Danio rerio: one gene and its partners. The protein of the gene in region 2 interacts with the protein of the main gene of each other region in a pairwise test. Links are inferred from orthologs where the notes say so. Each region holds a gene or a part of one and is shown on either strand. Other genes may lie near its edges.

What was found.
Region 1: the proteins of mid2 (region 2) and kifc3 interact in binary tests that used the Homo sapiens proteins (3 or more experiments, as listed by UniProt). The two-hybrid records come from large-scale screens. The link is inferred for Danio rerio from reciprocal best matches to the Homo sapiens genes MID2 and KIFC3.
Region 3: the proteins of mid2 (region 2) and prpf31 interact in binary tests that used the Homo sapiens proteins (3 or more experiments, as listed by UniProt). The two-hybrid records come from large-scale screens. The link is inferred for Danio rerio from reciprocal best matches to the Homo sapiens genes MID2 and PRPF31.

Annotation. Positions count from the first base shown.
Region 1 is NC_133193.1:48,507,111-48,513,817, reverse strand, and holds the start of kifc3 (kinesin-like protein KIFC3), read right to left. Parts: upstream 4,665-6,707; 5' UTR 3,790-4,664; coding exon 3,487-3,789; intron 1-3,486. UniProt on the Homo sapiens protein: Minus-end microtubule-dependent motor protein. Involved in apically targeted transport. Required for zonula adherens maintenance.
Region 2 is NC_133189.1:32,433,820-32,440,445, reverse strand, and holds the start of mid2 (probable E3 ubiquitin-protein ligase MID2), read right to left. Parts: upstream 4,340-6,626; 5' UTR 4,054-4,339; intron 1-4,053. UniProt on the Homo sapiens protein: E3 ubiquitin ligase that plays a role in microtubule stabilization. Mediates the 'Lys-48'-linked polyubiquitination of LRRK2 to drive its localization to microtubules and its proteasomal degradation in neurons.
Region 3 is NC_133191.1:35,279,889-35,286,373, reverse strand, and holds the end of prpf31 (U4/U6 small nuclear ribonucleoprotein Prp31), read right to left. Parts: intron 6,480-6,485; coding exon 6,322-6,479; intron 5,695-6,321; coding exon 5,605-5,694; intron 5,506-5,604; coding exon 5,378-5,505; intron 3,947-5,377; coding exon 3,874-3,946; intron 3,769-3,873; coding exon 3,640-3,768; intron 2,509-3,639; coding exon 2,410-2,508; intron 2,280-2,409; coding exon 2,160-2,279; 3' UTR 2,106-2,159; exon of another isoform or gene 2,074-2,105; 3' UTR 1,858-2,073; downstream 1-1,857. UniProt on the Homo sapiens protein: Involved in pre-mRNA splicing as component of the spliceosome. Required for the assembly of the U4/U5/U6 tri-snRNP complex, one of the building blocks of the spliceosome.

The DNA of each region.
Region 1 (6,707 bases), on a different chromosome or scaffold from region 2:
TCACTCCACGCTGCATCGCTGGTACTTAAACTGACAGACAACAATCCAAAAAGCAGTACACTGATAGTTTATTGCTGAAAAGCACAAGGCAAATACAATGACCATCAAGATATTACCTGTACAAAACTGTGTCGACTCTATCGAAACAGCAGCATAATAACCCTTAGATAAAAGATCTGTACAACGAATAAAAAAAATAAAAGAGCATTATTAAAATAGCATGGCCTTCATTTTGGTCTGTGTTTTTTTATTTAGCTAAGCATTTATAAAAAGCATATTAAAATTCACATTGAGCGTTAGTTCTTTTCTTTGTAATCATTAATACACCAATATACTATATATTTAGCCATTGCAAAATTATTGATTTTAATATGAATTGTAACATGAAAAAAGAAACCTGTAACTGATTAAAAGTCGCTCTTAAGACTTGCCATTCATTAATATTGAAACATCCATAGGAAGTTTACTTTTCACAAAAGATTTTTAGGTTTGGTTTTATGACAATGCCTAAGCAACAGAAAAAGGATTTTCCCCAAATCTTTCAAGAGCTTGTAATTTGTTTTTCGTACGATGAAAAAAACGGACTAAACTTTTCACAAACAAACAATATGCATAATAAAAATGTCAAATGTCTATTCTCTATACTATCCACACTAAATATAATTATGTTCCTAAGGCTCCCAAGAGCCTGTTTTCTGTGTAATGACACAACGAACTTTAACGAACTTTAAATTTTTAATGTATGTCACTGTGTTGTGCAAAAGAAAAGCATTTGTCAGGATGGTCATTATTAATGCATTACTGCAAATTTATTATTAACATTTTACTGCAGTTCACTTAATGACCACCGGTGTCACCTCAACATGCTCATTGGGAAAATGTGCCCAGGGCTAGATTTTTGAGAACTGAGAAATGGGTTAATATGAATACTTTTTGTGTTTAAAACGAACGCTAAGGGGAAAGCTAGATTCTCTCATGGATGTGGGCTAGAAGGAAGTGGAGGTTGCTAAAAATGTACACCATGGATTTACAAAAAATGCCGCATATGAGGCATGAGAATCGTGTCCCAGTAATGCAATTAAGATTGTCAAAAATGTATATGTCGACACCTAGCGGATTTGTAAAGGAAAAAAAAATGCTAGCACAAGTAGCCCAGGGTTCATATTACAGTTCAGTCGATGATCGCTGATAGACATCACGATGCTGAGCAAGCGTCACGATCCTCCGCCCTGCCACTTCGCAGCAGCAAGCCGCTCACAAAAAAATACACACTTAGGGCCTGTTTACAATAACACTAATACAGAGTCCCGCGGAAAAAGTGATTGACATTGACATTGTAACTTATTTTTATTTATTTATGATTTGGTTATGTATAAAACAAAGCCCATGCTGGTCAGGTAGTTGAAACAGGTGGCTACAAATAATTAATTTGTTATGAATTAATTAATTATTCATAAATAATTAATTCACCACCACCTATGACAACGATGAAATCGTCCATTGCAATGTTTTACATTAGACATCATACGATGCCAAAATGGTCAACATCGCCCAACCCTAGTACATATATCTCAGTTCTCGAAAATGTAGCCCTGGGCCAAAGAGGTTGAGTGTTTCTGAATTCTACATATAGCCCCAACTAAGAGCGTACAAAACTAATGTGCACACAAAGAAGTGGTGTAATAAATCACAAGCACTATGTTAAAATTCTAGCAAATCCAGATTTTTGCTAATTCGTCAAGTCAAAGCATAAAGATTGAGGAAAAGGGATAGCAGTAAACAGAGCGTATGCGAATTAAATTATGATTAAAGGGGACAGAGAGCTCTCTGATTAACCCACTGCTTGCGTAACCACTCAGGATTTGATCTGCTAAAACGATCCATCAGACTGCAGAGAACATTAGAAATGGGACATTGGGAGGATAAACATGATTCCAGGTAAATGAAAATCCCTGTGTGTATTATGCAGAAAGAACATTTACAAAATGTTCCCATAGTGAATTACTCCCACCAGAAGCAGCTGATCACAGAAATTCTGGATAAGGATGAAAAGTCGAGAAAAACGCACTTGATTGATTAAAATAGCTCCAGTAGACTTGATGAAATTCACACACTCAGAAAAGGAATATGTTCAACTTAAAGCCGTCTAAGGTTTCTTCAAATCAATAATACAACGCACATAAATAATGAGAAGAAATCAATGAATAAATAATTGCATTTTGGATTAAATGGAGGTTTTCCAGTAGCAGAGAGACTCATCAGTTACACTCTTCCAGCTTGAGGACTGATCGGTCAAAAACAACACTTAATTCCCTGCAGAATCTACAGTAACATACTGGCAGCAATTTACCAGTAACTTACTGTAAATCAAGTACAGCAAATAGACTGTATTTACATTTACAGCACCATTTATCTTGTATTTACAGATATGTATGTATAATAGTTTTGGGTCAATAGGCAATGCCATCGTCGATCGACAAAGGCCGAGAAACATCCTCTGCCCCGCCCCCGTCGCTAGAATTACACACTCAGGCCCCATTTAGACCAATACATCTTAGTATTAAAATGGCATTTTAGAACGAAAACGATCCACATCCACTGGCGTTTTATCTAGCACTTCTGAAAACATACTGCTGAACACACATGGCATGTGCTGCAGCATTTGCGCACGTCTGAGCTCTAGGCAGTCAGTGGGTGCTTTGAGCACAAAATCCCAGAGAGCAGTGCACTTTGGACAATTTATTAAAGATGTACCGCTGGATTGCATCTTATAGATGTTAAACTTGATATTTAATTAATCTTGTCTCTATCTAACGACTCCTCTGTCTTTTGAATCTATCAGGTAACACAGCGTCAGTACACTGCTTCAGTCTTTCGCTTTCACGCTTGTACTTTTAGTAAATTGTAATTCTAGCTTAAACCTCAGATACTGTTGGATGGTTCCTGTTGGTTGTGCACCTTTTTTTTTACCAACCAAGTTTTTCGACGCCATTATAATGACACAGATCACTCTGCCTATTCATGCCAGAATCCCGCAAAAAAAAATATTGACCGGTTGGTCATTTATGTGTAATTTATCTTTATTCATTTATGATTTGGTTATGTATAAAACAAAGACTATGCAGGTCAGGTAGTCGCAACGGGTGGCTACAAATTATTAATTTGTTATGAATAAATAAATGATTCACTGATGCCATCGTCCATCACGATGTTTCACATTAGACATCGTACGATGCCAAATCGGTCAACATCGCCCAACCCTAATGTAAATCTTTACTGTAGAATATACACTAATTTTCACAATGCAGCATTAAAATACAGTAACATACTGCATGAGTGTCCTACAGTAAAATACAGTTCACATTACAGCTAAATACTGTGTAATTTACAAAAATCGTTAACAGTGAACATTAAACTGGATGGCTGCAATGCAAACAGCCTTCAACTAACAACTTTCTTTACTTTAACCTCCATGTTCACGCTCACCTGTGCTATCTTCCTCCTCTCCAGCACATTATCCTGATGAACAGATCTTCTTTTACTCGCTCTGCTGCTGAATCCGTCAAGGCATCTATCAACGTCACTCTGCCCATGCACTCTTGAAGTCTCTAGTGGTCCAGAACTTCCAGGAATGTGGTGTTTGTTTCTCTTCTTGCGTCCGTGTTTGCCTACATCTGGTTTGTGCTTCTCTGGGCTTTCGATAGCTTTGGGTTCAACGGGATCCAGGACTCGGGGTCTCCTAAACAGGTTGTGAAGAGACAGCAGCACCAAGGTGCACAGAACATACATGCTGGCTTGACTACTGGAGACGTCTCCACACACACATTTAGACGGAGTATCCTTTAAAAGCGATTCTGGATGATCCCATTTCAGGGTGAGCGCAAGCACTGAACACTATCTTCTGGTTAAAGTTACAGTCGTAATATAAACTCTTCCGAATTGCGCAGCAATGAGCTTTATCGGTCGACGTGAAGGTGATCAGCCAGTTTAGAATCAAGTATTGTTGAGTTCTTGCATGTCTTCCCACCACTGTTTTCACTCAAACAACAACTCCTGGAAGGTAAGACCGTGTTATTCCAACACCTTCGAGCTCCAGAACTCTCACTTAGGCTTGATAATCTGTCTGTGATCTGATCAGCAAATGAGATGGCTTTCTCATCTCCCAATCTCGTTCAAGAGAGAATGAGGGAGGGACGACTACCGCACATCTGCTTTTAAACCCCACAAAGCCATTTTAACCTACCTGGACACGTCTATAAAGATATCGCCTGATAAACAATGTAAGCCAACAGCATGATAAATGCTTCTTTAATCAGGATACATAATATTTAGGTGCTTATCTTCCCCATCTGCACGCCTCTTCTTTGGAGATCTTCCAGAAGATTACAGGTGTATTCCAGTGAAATTCGATCGAAAGAGTAACCATGAAACTCTCAGTCGTAATCTCCATTGGCACTTTGACAAATCATCACCTCCACTTGCGTCAGTAATGGTTTTATTGTATTTTTACAGTCACTGGATTGCAGGACAAAACTCACAGGTCAGACCACTCCTTTCATAATGCCTTGTTTTGATAGTCTTTATCCCCGTTTTTAGGTCCAAATGACTGGGCAAACTCCAACCATTCATAACCCATCCAACTCCTGCGATGCTGGTGTAGTCCTATAACTCCGAGAGAGAAAATGCTTTTCACTCTTTCGCCCTCCCTTTTCTCATTGTGTCCATCTGTCACTGCAGTCGGACAGCTAAGCGTCTCTTAGCCGATGATGTAACAACAGTGTTTGCATCTATGCAAAATAAGGAAAATCAACTCAAAACATGTTTTAAATGCACTGCTGAGGATAAAGAAGCTGGTCTGTGATTGGTCGCCTCCGTGGTAAGATGACCCTGTTGAACTGCGTCCTACAAAGCCATCCATCATGCTCCTGCTGTGTGACAATGGATAGAACATAATATGGAAACAGACAACTATGGGAATGTGGCGCAGTGAGACCTGACAGTGCCAATCTAGAGTGATCAATTAGGATTCGGGGACATAGAAGATCGGCGCTGTCTTGTGCTGGTACTTCAGGGGGGAAAAATTGAATCATGTTTGAAGTGTGTGCGCAAGACAAACAAAAGGCCATCTTCTGGTTCATTACCCTTTTTAGGGGCCGTTCACATGCTTCAGACCAAGGGAAAACAACAAGAGTGCCTGTTCGAACCAAATTAACCAGTATAGAAGTAAGTGCTCAAACTAAAGTGGCAGGGCTGGGCAAATCTACAAACAGAAAACTACAAACAAACAACAATTTTTTTTATATACAGTTGAAATCAGAATTATTAGCCCCCCTGAATTATTAACCTCCCTGTTTTATTATTATTATTATTGATTATTATTATTTTTTATTTGTTTATTTTATTTTTTAAACATAATAGGTTTAAGAACTCATTTTTAATAACTGATTTATTTTATCCTTGTCATGAAGACAGTAAATAATATTTGACTAGATATTTTTAAAGACACTTCTAAACAGCTTAGTGACATTTAAAGGCTTAACTAGGTTAATTACAGTAGGTTAACTACGCAGGTTAGAGTAATTAGGAAAGTTATTGTATAACGATGGTTTGTTCTGTAGACTATCGGAAAAAATAGCTTAAAGGGGCTAATAATTTTGTCCTTAAATTGGTAGTTAAAAAATTAATAACTGCTTTTATTCTAGCCGAAAATAAGACTCTCAAAAAGACAAAATATTATCAGACATACTGTGAAAATGTCTTTGCTTTGTTAAACATCATTTTGGAAATATTTAAAAAAGAAAAAAAACATCAACAAGGGCTAATAATTCTGACTTCAACTGTATATAAGACAATACCAAAATGATGATACAAGTTGAATATTCTCTTCTTCAAAGGGGGCCTCTTACACTCATTTAAACAAGATGTAAAATAAGTCCCTATAGTGTTTGTGTGTGTGTGTGTGTGTGTGTGTGTGTGTGTGTGTGTGTGTGTGTGTGTGTGTGTTTGTGAAGTATCAGCTGAAAATACCACAAAAATAATTTTTTATAATGCTTTGAAACAGCAAGTTTAAGGCTGTGATCCAAATTGTGTCGTTTTGGTGACTGTCGCTTTAAATTCAAATGAGAATGGCGGACGGCTGCTTCTCACTCAAAGCTGTTTATGCTAATGAGGGAGAAATTTCTCTAATGGGCGGGGCTTTTCCAATCCAATGGCACGTACAAAGGCAGAATGTCAATCAAAGTGTTTCTGCAGACTGTTTATTAAGGTGTGATTATACAAAAATTTAATTAATAAATTTTCACCATTAGAGGCTGGTTATATTTATACAGTGCTGCCACACAACTGTGTTTAAACCCCTTATAATAGTGCTTTTTCCATTATAGGTCCCTTTTAATGTTTAAATGAAGATTCTCAGTCAGCAGCTCTTGAACAGGTAATTAATTGTGGTTTTAAAAGTTCATCAAAACTGGTTAAGCTGAAGTTAAAATGTGAAATTTAAACTTCCAGTAAAATACAGTATTTATTAGGCATGCATTAGGGAACAGTTTAAGAAAAAATATAATTATGACAATATAATTCATTTATATATCAATATGCTCCTCTTCAGAATATGAGTTTGACCTGGTTTTCTGACCTAAATGCAACATTTTATGATGTTTTAATTTTTTTAGGGGTAAAACTGATTACATGGGATGTGGGATACAAGT
Region 2 (6,626 bases):
ATAAAGAACCTTTAGTTTTAAGAGTGTAAGAGTCCATCATAAACTTTAAAGCTGTCCAAGTAAAATTCTTATCTAATCTTTAAATTAATAATAATAAAAATACCAATGTTCTTTGCAACTTTCAGTGTTATCCTAAACTTTAAATGCAATTTATTTTAATAATCATTATAGAGTAGGGTTTTTTTTTTTTCTTTAATTTATCCAGTGGATTCAGGCTATGCTGTAACCATCAATGCCAATAAAGAACTTTCAGAGTGTAGAGTTCATTATAAATTTCAAAAGCTAAAATTCATATTCATCCATTCATTTCTCTTTCGGTTTAGTCCCTTTAATAATAATGGTTCACCCTAGCGGAATGAACCGCTAATTTATCCGGCATATGTTTTAAGCAGCAGATCCCTTCCAGCAACAACCCAACACCAAGTAATGAAATTCTAAATGAATATTTAATTTAATTAATAAGAAGAAAATGTTGTTGGTAATCTTCTCTATTATCCAAGACTGCAAATGTAATTTCTTTAAATAAAGATTACAGAATTGGGGGATTTTTCTTCTTCAGTTTATCCAGTGGATTCAGGCTATAATGTATCTGTTTCAAACTGAAACTGAAAGCATGGGTGAAGCTTTAATTAAAATTCTGAAAACTATATTTAATGACACTTAAGAACAGATATCATGATTTGAATCCACTATAAACTGGAATGAAAGTCAAGTCAGCCTGAGTTTATTTGGTATGAAAGGTTTATTTCCAAAACCCAATTTGAAGCTTTGCCAGCCCTGGGCATTTGATGAACCGCTCTGGAAAAAAAAAAGCCCAACTTCACCTCATCTTGACTCTGGCTCAAAACAAAATTAGTCATAGCCATTTCAACAGAGCTGTATTATTTGAAGTCTCTCTGTGAAAAAGAAAAAAGAAAACTATGTGCATTATGAGATGGCCTGCTATGCCGCCAGCCCCATTGAGCCATCATTCAATGAGAGCTCAATATACAGAGTGAAAACAGTAGGAGAGTTTAAATCACCACACTAAGTATAACCAAAAACCACAATATGAGCAGTAAATCAGTGTGAGATCACATACTGGATATGCTAACAAGTTTTAAAAAGGAAAGATAAGGCCACAAGCCGCCGACGGAAATAATAACAACATTACTACAACCATCATCACAGCAAGCCTTTGTCAAGTGATTTCGGCTCATTGACAAAGTAAACTACAGAAATGCTTATTAAAAGACATTTTTACCAACCTTGAGGCCTCATTTACATAAGTTCTGGCAAGAGTGCGAGTCTCTCTAATTGAATATTAGACCCCTGACGAGAAGCTAACAACATTAATGGACCCCCTTCCTGATCTCCACCAGCATCATGGAACATATCTTAACACATCTCAATATTTTTTCAGTAGATATATCCTCCAGCTTTTTAGCAACCTTTCTCAAGCTGACTTGCCCGAGATAAGAATAGTACATAGCCTCAAGAAATACATTTGGCACAGCAGGTCAGCCATGGAAAATTACCTTCTGTGCTTTTTAATATCGAGAAACTTTTCTTCTCTTTGGAGATGCAAAAGCGCCAATGGTGGAGAAGGAATGGAGGCTCTTTGATTTTTATTTATTTCATTTTTTTTCCACATAATTACTTAAGACGATCCACTGCAGCGAAGCCTTCATATGGCCACAGATTTGTCACATAAGACTCGGGTGGTCTAAATTGGATGTTTGTTGCCAGTTTAAGAATGCCCTACAATACTGGCAGGAAGTTGAGACTACTCAGCATAAACAGAAGAAAGGCTGAAACAACACTAAAGTAGCCCCTTTCAACCACAGTTCTGGGCACCTTTTAACAGCATCTTAAGGCAAATGCCAACACGATACCACTCGTTCTAAAAGAGTCACTTCCTCAATAACAAACATATCATATAAGCAAGTCTTATTATTACTAGCACATAACTTAAATAAAGCTTCTGGGACTCTTTCCAAGTGAAAAGCTGCACTGTAAACCGTTATGCCTGAAATACATCTAACCACATGAATGTCATATCAATGCTGACAGCACAGCAAGTGGCACAGGTATATCGGTCTCCTGTGGATATACAGTACAGTATAGCTCAGCGTTACTATGGGGATGAGGGTACTTTTATGAAGAAAATGCCATCAAAATAACCCTTGCAGTTCACAACAATGCATTGTAACCTTTGTTATATATTCAGATGTAATATGGAAATCAACTGGCTACAAACAAATAGCCCAGTGAACTGCTCTGAATGAAAAACATTTTCAAGACGGAGGCGTGCAAATGTGCTTCCTCATCGCTAAGGGCAGGTACACCTCCACACAGTTCTGATATTTCAGCGGTGGGAACAGAGGATGTCAATTCTGTTTAAGATGTGGACAAACATACTAGCAGCAGAAGATGCGGGTATAAAGGAATAGTAGTAAATTCTGTCATTATTTACATTCACTGTAGAATACAAAAAAGAAATTAGCCATTTTCAAACTAAAAAGTAAAGTAGCTTAGCATATTGTTGATTAGCAAGCTACTGTATGGTTTATATTCAACATGAATTTTCAGTGGTCTTGCATATTACAATTTTGTTTGGTCAGGCATTTACAACCAGTTCTAGAAGCACATAAATCAACCTGTATACTGGTTTTTGTTTTTAACTGAATGATTTTGTCCACTATACTGTCTGAAAGAACAGTTCTTTGTAGTGAACTAATTCAATCCCACAATGCATCTCACAATGAGTGTTCAGCTAAAGTACATATGAATGGCAAGCCATTTTGCATGCTGTGATGAATCCCACATCTCACCTCATCTTTAGTGTACACATTTGTTTACTTGTTTTCATTCACTCATCCAAAGGACAGTACTGTATAGAAAGAGTAATACTGCGAATAGTGTGGGCAATTGTAAAGAGCAATTGGTTTCATTATATTGGTTTTTGAGTAAATCATAACTTAAATTTTCTCCTGTTTGGTGTTGTAATGGCCACTTTTATATTTTCTTTGTCATTTGAAGGTGATAGCTTCAGTTATCCATAAATATTACAATAAAAAGCAGCCTTCATATATATGAATATATATATATATATATATATATATATATATATATATATATATATATATATATATATATATATATATATATATAAATATAAGTTAGTTAGTTCCACAGTTTCCTTAGTTCCACAGGAAAAAGAGCTTCTTCTTCTAGAAAAAAATTCTGGAATGAGGGTGAATAAATGAGGACACAATTTAAATACAGCAGCAATGTGGACAATTGCTTTAGTTTTTGTCTTATTTTAATGTAATCAATAGTGACGTAGTGATTTACAAAACTTAAAATAGTATCTGATGTCATGAAATACATTTCAGTTTGTAGTGCAGCCAAAATATGTTTTATAATAATTATTTACAGTTATATGGTGGCATGAAATAACAAACCATAAAGGTGAATGTGAAAAGCTTTCCCTGATGAAAAATTTATTATGTTTTGGTCTCAAATTCACCATGCTTTTGATAAACCAATGTTTTAACCATACTATTTTAGTAAAATCTAGGTCATACAAAAGCTAATTAATATGACCTACAGTTTTACTAGCCTATAATGCATGGTTAACTTCAGGGTTTTTAAGTATCTTGAACCACTCTAACAACTTAAACCTTGGAATTCATGGGGTTAATGCAAAAATGGACAACCAGAATCTCTGGAAAGAAACCCAAAAAAGCTAGACAGAGGCAAAAATGGGATCATGGTGTTCTTGCACATTATCCAGAAGCTTTCATCACCGATGAAGTCACATGTATGCTACCTGCTGTATTTTCATTTAGTACAGTGTGGCTATAGAAAACAACACGCACAAATACGCTACAAACAATGTGTGAAAAATTAAGACTGAAAGAGAACTTTATTTAACTTCGATATAATCTAAAATGTTTCACGAGTTGTTTATCTTTCTGTTTTAAGACACATTATAGCATATACCAAACATTCTGTTGCGTTTTAATTGCGTCCTAAAACTTCTAAAACTGTAGAAATGCCTGTACTTACCTTGATGTGCAGTGACAGTGATCTGTATTTCGCGTAGCAAGAACAGTAAACAGCAGTGTTGATTTTTCACCGATCACGCTGAGTGCGTTTGTTGCGACTGAGATGCGCGCAGAAGTTTATGTAAATCGGTCGTCAGATCCCCTCTCTTCACGTGCATTTTCTTTCGCTTTCAGCAAAGCAATAAACACGCGCAAATACAGTTGACAGCTTCCTTACAGTAACAATGAAGTCTGGACGACGCGCTTGACGCTACACCTCCGATTCCAAGGGCTCCACACACACAACTACTCCCCACGGACACGTGATCATCCCACGGGAATATCTCATCCCTCCCTCACGGGCTGATGAGATCGGTTACCGGCATCCATTCGGCCGGACACGTCCTTTAGTTTAGGTCTGTTGGTTCAGTTGTTGGCAAAAGGCACGTACAGTAGGATAATGGATTGAGCAATGGAACCATCTGACAATGAAACTAGTTTGAGCTGACTGCACATGGAATCGACCTAGTTATGTAAACAAATATCGAATAAATACATTTGGCGTAAAAGTTGTGTGGTCTGGACGACGCGTGTCCCCTTCTTCAAAACATCAAGCTTAAGTTATATAAAGGGTGTGATGAAATCCTATATTGGATATCTTAAAATTTAATTTGCTTTCAAATCTGTTCTTCAAGCACAATAAATTTAGACAAGTTAGACAAAGCGCTTTTTACCTGAACAGGGAAAAGGTTCATATGAGGTAACCATGGAAACAGTCGGCTGCTTGCTTTTGTTCATTTAAGGATGGAACAATATTGTCATTACATATAGATTTAGATGTTAATATGCCGAAAAGGAAACAGATTGTGTAAAGTTAACAGCTCCTATTCCCAGAATTTGAATTGATCTTATGGATAACATTTGGATGTCCTTACTATAACTATAGCATACATTTCACCTCAATTTATAAAAGTACCAAACAGAAATTCATGTAAACGTATGCATCCTGCTCAGCACAATTGAGTACACCCCAATTTGATAATTAATATTTTTATCCATTTCTCATTGAATATGTATTTTGGTGCATTTAAACAAAACAGATATATTTATTAAAATAATATTTCAGCCATCAAACATATTTAGAAATTGAAAGATAATACTATTAAATTCAAGCAAAATATTGAAAAAAATACAACCTACAGAATTAAAACTAATTAGCCCCTTTAAGCAATTTTTTTCAATAGTCTACAAAACAAGCCATCGTTGTACAATAACTTGCCTAGTTACCCTAGTTAAGCATTGAAATGTCGCTTTAAGCTGTATAGAAGTGTCTTGAAAAACATCTAGTCAAATATTATGTACTGTCATCATGGCAAAGATAAAATAAATCGGTTATTAGAAATGAGTTATTAAAACTATTATGTATAAAAATGTGGAATAAATCTGCTCTCCTTTAAACAGAAATTGGGGGAAAATGAACAGGGCAGCTAATAATTCAGGGGGTCTGATAATTCTGACTTCAACTGTATGCTGAGCACTGTATCAGTTTTTCACATTTGAGTTTTATTGGTTTTAAGATTAACAGTGTATATAAAAGTATACATACATATATTATTTGATAATTGTTCTGGAAACAAGTTATAGCAACCCCGCCCCCAATTTAAAATAAATAATTATTTATTTATTTAAAAGTGTCATTTACAGCATTTCATTATTATGTTTTTGTTGCACAAAAAATACAGTGTGAAATATTTGTATTACATTTTAAATACAATACTTTTTTGTCAATATTTAGATTTTTCTAAAAGTCAAACATTTTTCTACCCTAACAATTTATACAACAATGGAAAGTTTATTTATTCAGCTTTTGGATAATTTGGCAATTTAATAGTTAATCATTAATAACAACTAATTAGTACTAACTTAAAGAGTTAACACATACTCAAACTCATACCCAATAAAATAAAAATGAAAATTGTCACCTAATTTTTTTCGGAGTTCTGTATGACCTTATTATCTTCCAACTGCAGTATTATCCTGATAATAATTGTGATGCAAAACCAGTTGTTTTTAGGGCAATCTAAGTTAATCCTATAACTATAGCAAATATTTGTAACACTTTAAGGTGTCTTTATTTCACATGTTCCATGTACATACTATAGCAATTACAATTAATTATGTATAATTAGATGCAACTAACCCTAAACCTAACCCACATTCTAATCCTTTAACAGTAAGCACATGCGTGCAATAATTAATATTACTTAGTAGTTAAATGAGTCACACTAACAAGGATACTTTAAAATAAAGAATAACCAAAGTAATATAAATATAATTTTACATTACTTTAATTATTGTGAAATGTCTAACTTTGCTCTGTATCCTTCTCTGCAAGCACTAAGAGTTGTGAGGATTTGAGAAAGACAACAAGTCAAATTCTGGCACTTTACCACAATGGGCCTCATCCACACGTGGATTTCCAAGTGGAAAATCTTTCCTTGGAACACAGGTTTCTGCCAGAGTTCAGTGTGTATTCAACATTACATAACAAGCCAGAGAAGAAAAATATTGCACATGTTAGTCAGTAAAGTGATC
Region 3 (6,485 bases), on a different chromosome or scaffold from region 2:
ATTAATATTCGGCTAAATTTAAGCTTTCATCCTTACATGTACGCATATCCATCTATCCATCTCTCGCTTTCTCTCCTATTATTAAATAGGTCTTGTTTTAATTACATCACAATAATACGTGAAAATAATCACGTATTTATAAAGCTGCGCCTAGCTCGGAAACAATAATATGCTGCTCAGAAATGGCTTTATTTTGCACAGCATCAGGAGCATAGCAGCAAGAAGTTTGGCAGTGACGTTAATTTAATGTCAAATAATTATACTGCTGTTTTTATATAATTTATGCATATGCAATGAATGTATCAGGCATAGGCCTATGTTCTAGTATGTGGTTCAAATGATACGTAAATTTGGTGTATTATGTATATTAAACAGTTATTTTAAACGAAAAAAATAAAGATAATAGTTCTCTTTGGCTGTTGGATCCGACTCTTGCATCGTTCATTTATGGGACCTAATATCTGCTCTGTGGACTTTTGAAGTAATATAATGTTTAAGAAATAATATAGGCTATAGATAAATTAATGTAAACACAGTTTATTACAAAGTTTTTGTAGCATAATATACAACACCAGCCCAGACAATGCAAATAAATACATAAATAATAAATAATAAAAAAGTAAAAATCACAAAATACTGAAAACTGTTAAAACAGATATTTTGTACTCGACATTAATCCAGCGAAAGTCTCGAAAGGAAGGCTTATTATTATTATTATTATTATTATTATTATTATTATTATTATTATTATTATTATTACTATAGGCCTAGCTTGGAAACAATCGTGCAAACCAAGTGCTGCTCGCAAATCTTTTGCTCAGTATCAGGTGCATAGCAGCAAATTTGGCGGCGAACTATAACAGTAATGATAAATTGTAATGATAAATGTCTAATAATACTGCTAATATATTATATATTGAATATAATATATTAAATGCCTGTGTGCTGATCCGCAGAGGACGAAGACTACAGGACTGTTATTTTGAAGGCGACGTTAGGAGCCCAGATTTGATTGACCAATCAGAGGAAATGGGCGTTTTAGAACCGCCTACATGTGGATAATGAATTTTAAAGTCATTTATCCGTTTTCCTACCCTAAACCAAAAAAAGAAAATCGAGCCAAAATCATTTATTTAAATTTTTTTTAGCCAAATAAAAAAACGAAAAACGGCCGTTTCCTCGTTTTTTAAATTTCGTTTAAGATCAAAAATCGAATGAACGCAACGTACACGGACCCAATGCACTAGTGTTCTGATAAATGTACCAAAGCGAATGAGAAAAACTAATATGGAAAACCATTGCATGTTTTTATCAAAACTAATATTGCATATTTTTTCTAAAATGTGTGTGCGTGTAAAACAATAGAATTTGCACAAAGAAATGATGGGGGTCTTCTCTAAGGAAAGTAGCTCAGATCGCCCAATGCAGTCTACAACTGCGCTGTGTGTGATTTGTCTTCATAAGGCTGCAGTATTTTGATTACTATTAATTACTGTTTAATTGGTATTAAAGTCACCATGGCATTTAAATTTGCTCTTATTTTTAAAATCATTGCCATTATTTATTAAATCATGCACCGCACAACATTTGTTTCTCATTTCAGGACTGCTTCAGATGTGATGTGTTGCAGACAAACCTGATCCTAATAATCCAGGTGTTCAAAAGGGTTATGAACACCTTCATTAGATGGAGAAGCGGTGTTTAATCAGGGTCGGAGCATAACTGAGCAGAGCTGCGGCCCTCCAGGAATTAAGTTTGAGACAACCACTTTAGATTATTTTGAATGTAATATTAGTTTCTTACAGGACAAATAAAAAAGTTAACAAGCACTAAAAAGAAAAAAAGAAAAAACTCTGGTCCAACTAGATGAGCAACTTTATTCACTCAGTGTTGTTTGTAATTGTCAAAATAAAAATAAAAAATTCCTTAAAATGAAAACTTGCATTTACAATGTTCTGTTCTATATAGACAGCACTAAACACCTTTGTTTGATGAAATACAAAAAGAAAACCAAATGTACAAAATGTGCATGACAGCAATCCTCATGATGTCACCGTCCCCACACAAGTCCATCTGAGTGGGTGTGTGACAGATTCACACTTCATCTGCTAATTTATCCATGGCTGTCACTGCATGTCTGATGCGCCGCCGCCGACGCCTCACACCTTGTCCTCCTTCTCACGCTTGACCTTGAGGAACTCAGCCATGTTGGAGAAATATTTCTGATTGGCTTCAGCCACCTTCTTCTCTGCAGCCTGTGGGTTCACAATCTCCAGCCCCTGACAGAGAACAGATGCTTTACTAACAAATCAACCAAACCAACGCTGGCAGTCTGAGATTCAGCACGCCACAATGAACCAGAACGTGCACGAAAAGAGTCAAAAGCAGCTGGACTGCGAGACAGTGTACCTGTAGAGGAGTGAAGGCCACGCTGGAGCTGGTTCCAGACGATCGGTCTCTCACTGTAGACTTGCCTCCGTACGTCATGCTCTGCTTCTGCAGTGTCCTCTGCAACAACACAACTGATGTAAGACCACGTGTGTAGAAATAATGGATAAAAATAATGACAACAATCAAGCTGACACATTCAATTCTGTTAAAAAAGAGCAAGGCAGCAAATTGACTCAGAGGTGACAAGTGATTCAGGAGGATTTATCCCAGATTAATGTCCTTGAGAGGCTTGTTTAAAAAAGAAATCATTAAAATAATGATTGAATGGGCTCTATGCAGAGCTAGTGTTTTTCAGCCAATGATGAACTTCTGGTGAAAGCTTAATGTGACTTATCAATTTCATAATGTTCCTTTTACAGCATCAATGTTGTAATGGAATTACAATACATTCGGTTAAATAGACTTCAGCAAACAATTAATGAGTCTCATGGCTTTCAACATTGATATTATTAATACATGTTTTTTTTTAGCTCTAAATCAGCAAATTATATTGAATGATTTCTGAAAGATCATGTGACACTGAATGTAGTTGGGTAATGTTGAATGTAGTTGGGTAATGTCTGTTGAATTTTCAGCTTTGCCATCATAGACATATATTTTATTTTAAAATGTATGAGAACAAAATAGCTTTCAATACATTATTATAGTTGACTTTATTATAAATGGTAAATTTATTTCACATTTTTTTTCAATTAATTTTTTTTATAAAAGCAGCCTGACGAGCACAAGAGGCTTATAAATAAAATCAGTATTAATTAGTCATTTAATATAATTTTTATTTATAATATCTCTTTAATAAATTGATCACTTATCGGGAACTTTTCAATAACACAATACAGCTCAAATTAAGGACATGTGGTTATTTTACTGGCTTGTGTTTTGTTTTTGTTTTTAAATCCGTATAAATTCAATTATGTCAAACTTAAAAAGTCTTGAAAGATGACTTTATATAATTTAATAAAATAATAAATAATTATTACAAAGCATTTCCGGTTTTCCAGAGCATTTCGTATGTCTGCTTTCATTTTTAGCCCAGAATTTTCATTTTGGTACATCTCTAAAAAAAACGCACCAGATTCGAAAATATAAGCGAAAATATAAGCAAATTAGCCATCTGTGAAAATGCCCCAAGCAAAGAAAATTTGCTTTCAAAGCTTCATTTTCCCTTAGTATTTGCTGCAGATGTACCTGTAAAGATTTGGATATTCTGGCTTTGGTGGAGTCGTTGACCTGAGCTTGTCTGACTCTGCCACTGCCAGATTTTCCCAGCTGACCGAGACTGAAGCCCAGATCCTCCTGATAGGCATCGTCCTCAATCTACACAGAGAAAGAGAACGTTAATAACCCGCAGTAGCTGAATCAATCTATAGAATTTCAAAAGCAAGCACACTAATGGAGAGCTGCTGATGCAGTTCATCTGACCTCTGCAAAAGTCATTCTGTTGGCGTGTTTCCTGATCTCAGTCAGTCCCAGTCTTTCTTTCATCTTACGATACCTGAGAGAACCAGGAAAAATGCAAGTCAATCAAAATAATTCTTTAATATATGAAAGGTTTCTTTTTAAAGACAGATAACTCAATATTTTGTAATTGTAGATATCTTGTTTTTGTTGTATATTGAGGAGTACAACAATAAATAAAAAAAACATGATTTATTAGGAAAAACAATGGTCAAAAATCATGTTTAGTATTGATGCGTACAATATCGACTGAAGTCCTTAAAGGCCATGCGTCAATATAGTTTACTTGTTTTCTTATGATCACAACTTAATTTTCTTGTGATCTCAACATAACAAAGTTGATCTCTCATGTTTGAAAACCTATTTTTTCTGCTTATTCCAAGAGTATATATTTTTGTTACTTTTTCTCATTAATGCACTTGTCATCATCATTATTTTTTCTCTAAAACTTAGTCATTTAAAAGTGCAGTATGCAAGTTTGACACCCATTGGTTGAACTAGGTATTGCAATACAGGATCAAAACACATTTTCACTGGGCTCCTCCTCTGACAAGTCCATGCAAGCGCAGGTTGCCAGATTTATGCGAGTGTGCCTGACTATCAAGCCTAAAGGCTGATTTGAACAGCTTGTCAACTAAAAGCAATGGCACGTGATAGAAGAAATATTTGTTATACAAAAAAGGAGTTTTTGTCCTAACAAAACTGTAAATTTCTATTTTAGAAACAGTTAATCTTGTTGTTCACCTGTGAGAAATGGATCACCTCAGGTATAGCTCATGTGCTTTATTCAGTGTTAGATGCTAACAATGTGAGTTTGAATGCCATTTTACATGCCATGTATTGTCATACTACTAAAAGCAGCAGCAGATCATCTTTAAGTTAACCATTTGAAAATTAACTTTAGAACTGTGACTAAAGCCAACAAATATTAATTATTTAGCATATAATAATGTAAAAGAGGTTTAATAGGTAGGGCACGGGGTTACAATGTAATCTGCTCACCTAATGTTTACGCTCGTAATATTTATATGATTTGCTAATTAATAACCACCTCATGTGGAACTCTGAATCTGCGTCTCATTTTGGGGCTGCTACTGCGTGCTTTGAGAGCCTTCATGACTAAAAGAATCAAATAAGCTATTTTCCATGAAGGCAACCTAGACAGCTGAAATATAATTGGCTTAACTGGGTTAAATGACCAAAACAAAGACAGCGTTCTGGCACGTAACTCACATTTTCAAAGCAGAATAACTGACTTTAGCATTGCTTTTCAGATACACACGAATGTCCACTTAGCAAGTTTTTTTTTTAAATATCTGTAAACATATTATGGTATTATTATATCTATAGAATATTAGATTATATCTATATATAGCTATAGAATAGTCAAAAACTCACATCCAGCACAGATGCACCAAGACCTTAATTTTATATGCCATTCACAAGACCACAACATTCCCACCCTCACCTTCTTCCTCCTCTCTTCTTCCTCTGTCCATCCAGAGGAGCTGGAAGAGGCTTGACCTGCTTGACTGGTGGAGGCTCCTGCCATTTATCAAACTTCCTCTCAATCTCTTCCTTCAAATCATAGCCAACCTGCAGAGCAACCCACATACAAATGCTTACAGTCTAACTAGTTGATATACTCTAAAGTGAATGAACAGCACAGAGATGCAGATCATGATCTACTGTCACCTTGCCATCTGCGCTCTCATGAAAACTGTCCACGCGAGAAGCCAGAGTGCATTTAGCAGAAACCAGACGAGCTGCTTTCCTCCTTAGATCCTGCAAACACAGATTAACTCCACATTGTTACTAAGATTTACAAATGTTCTTATTTATATGCAATAGAAAAAGTTTATTTGTTTATAAAATATTTATATACAAATTATAAATAAGATTTTCTCCAGAAGAAAAGATTATAGGAAATACTGTAAAAATGTTCTTGTTCTGCTTAACATCATTTGAGAAATATTATAAATAAAATGTGCAAATTTCACAGGATGATTATTAATTTTGACTTCAAACTCTACATAATATGTATTTGCACATATTTTACAAACTTTTATTTTGTATGCAATTAATTGTTAAAGCACTAAATCTTTGTCTTTTCATGGCTACTGATGGCCAATTTCTATTATTTCTCAATGATTTTATGAAATGTACCTAATAGTAAGTAACTAATATCAATTTTTAAATTAATTTTAGCTGTTCATTTACACGACAACAACATCATTATTATTATTATAATCATCAGACATTTTTGCTGCATATACATGAAACTTCAAAATCAAAAGCTGCATTATCGTCATGCAAATGTAACCTTATGTCTTATTTTGCTCAACAATGTCATATCAGGTGGAACTAATTGTCAGTGAACTACTTTTAATGAAACCAAAGGTTGATGCTCACTGGAGGCAGAGTCTGCACTACATCACAGTGGTAGATGTAGCCTGTGTGGGGCAGCAGAGATGTGCTGCTGAATCCAGACAGTGTTCTCCTCTGCGCTCCCAGCAACATCAGATTACATGCGGGCATCTTGGACAGGTTAGTCAGACCACCGGCAACACCTGAAA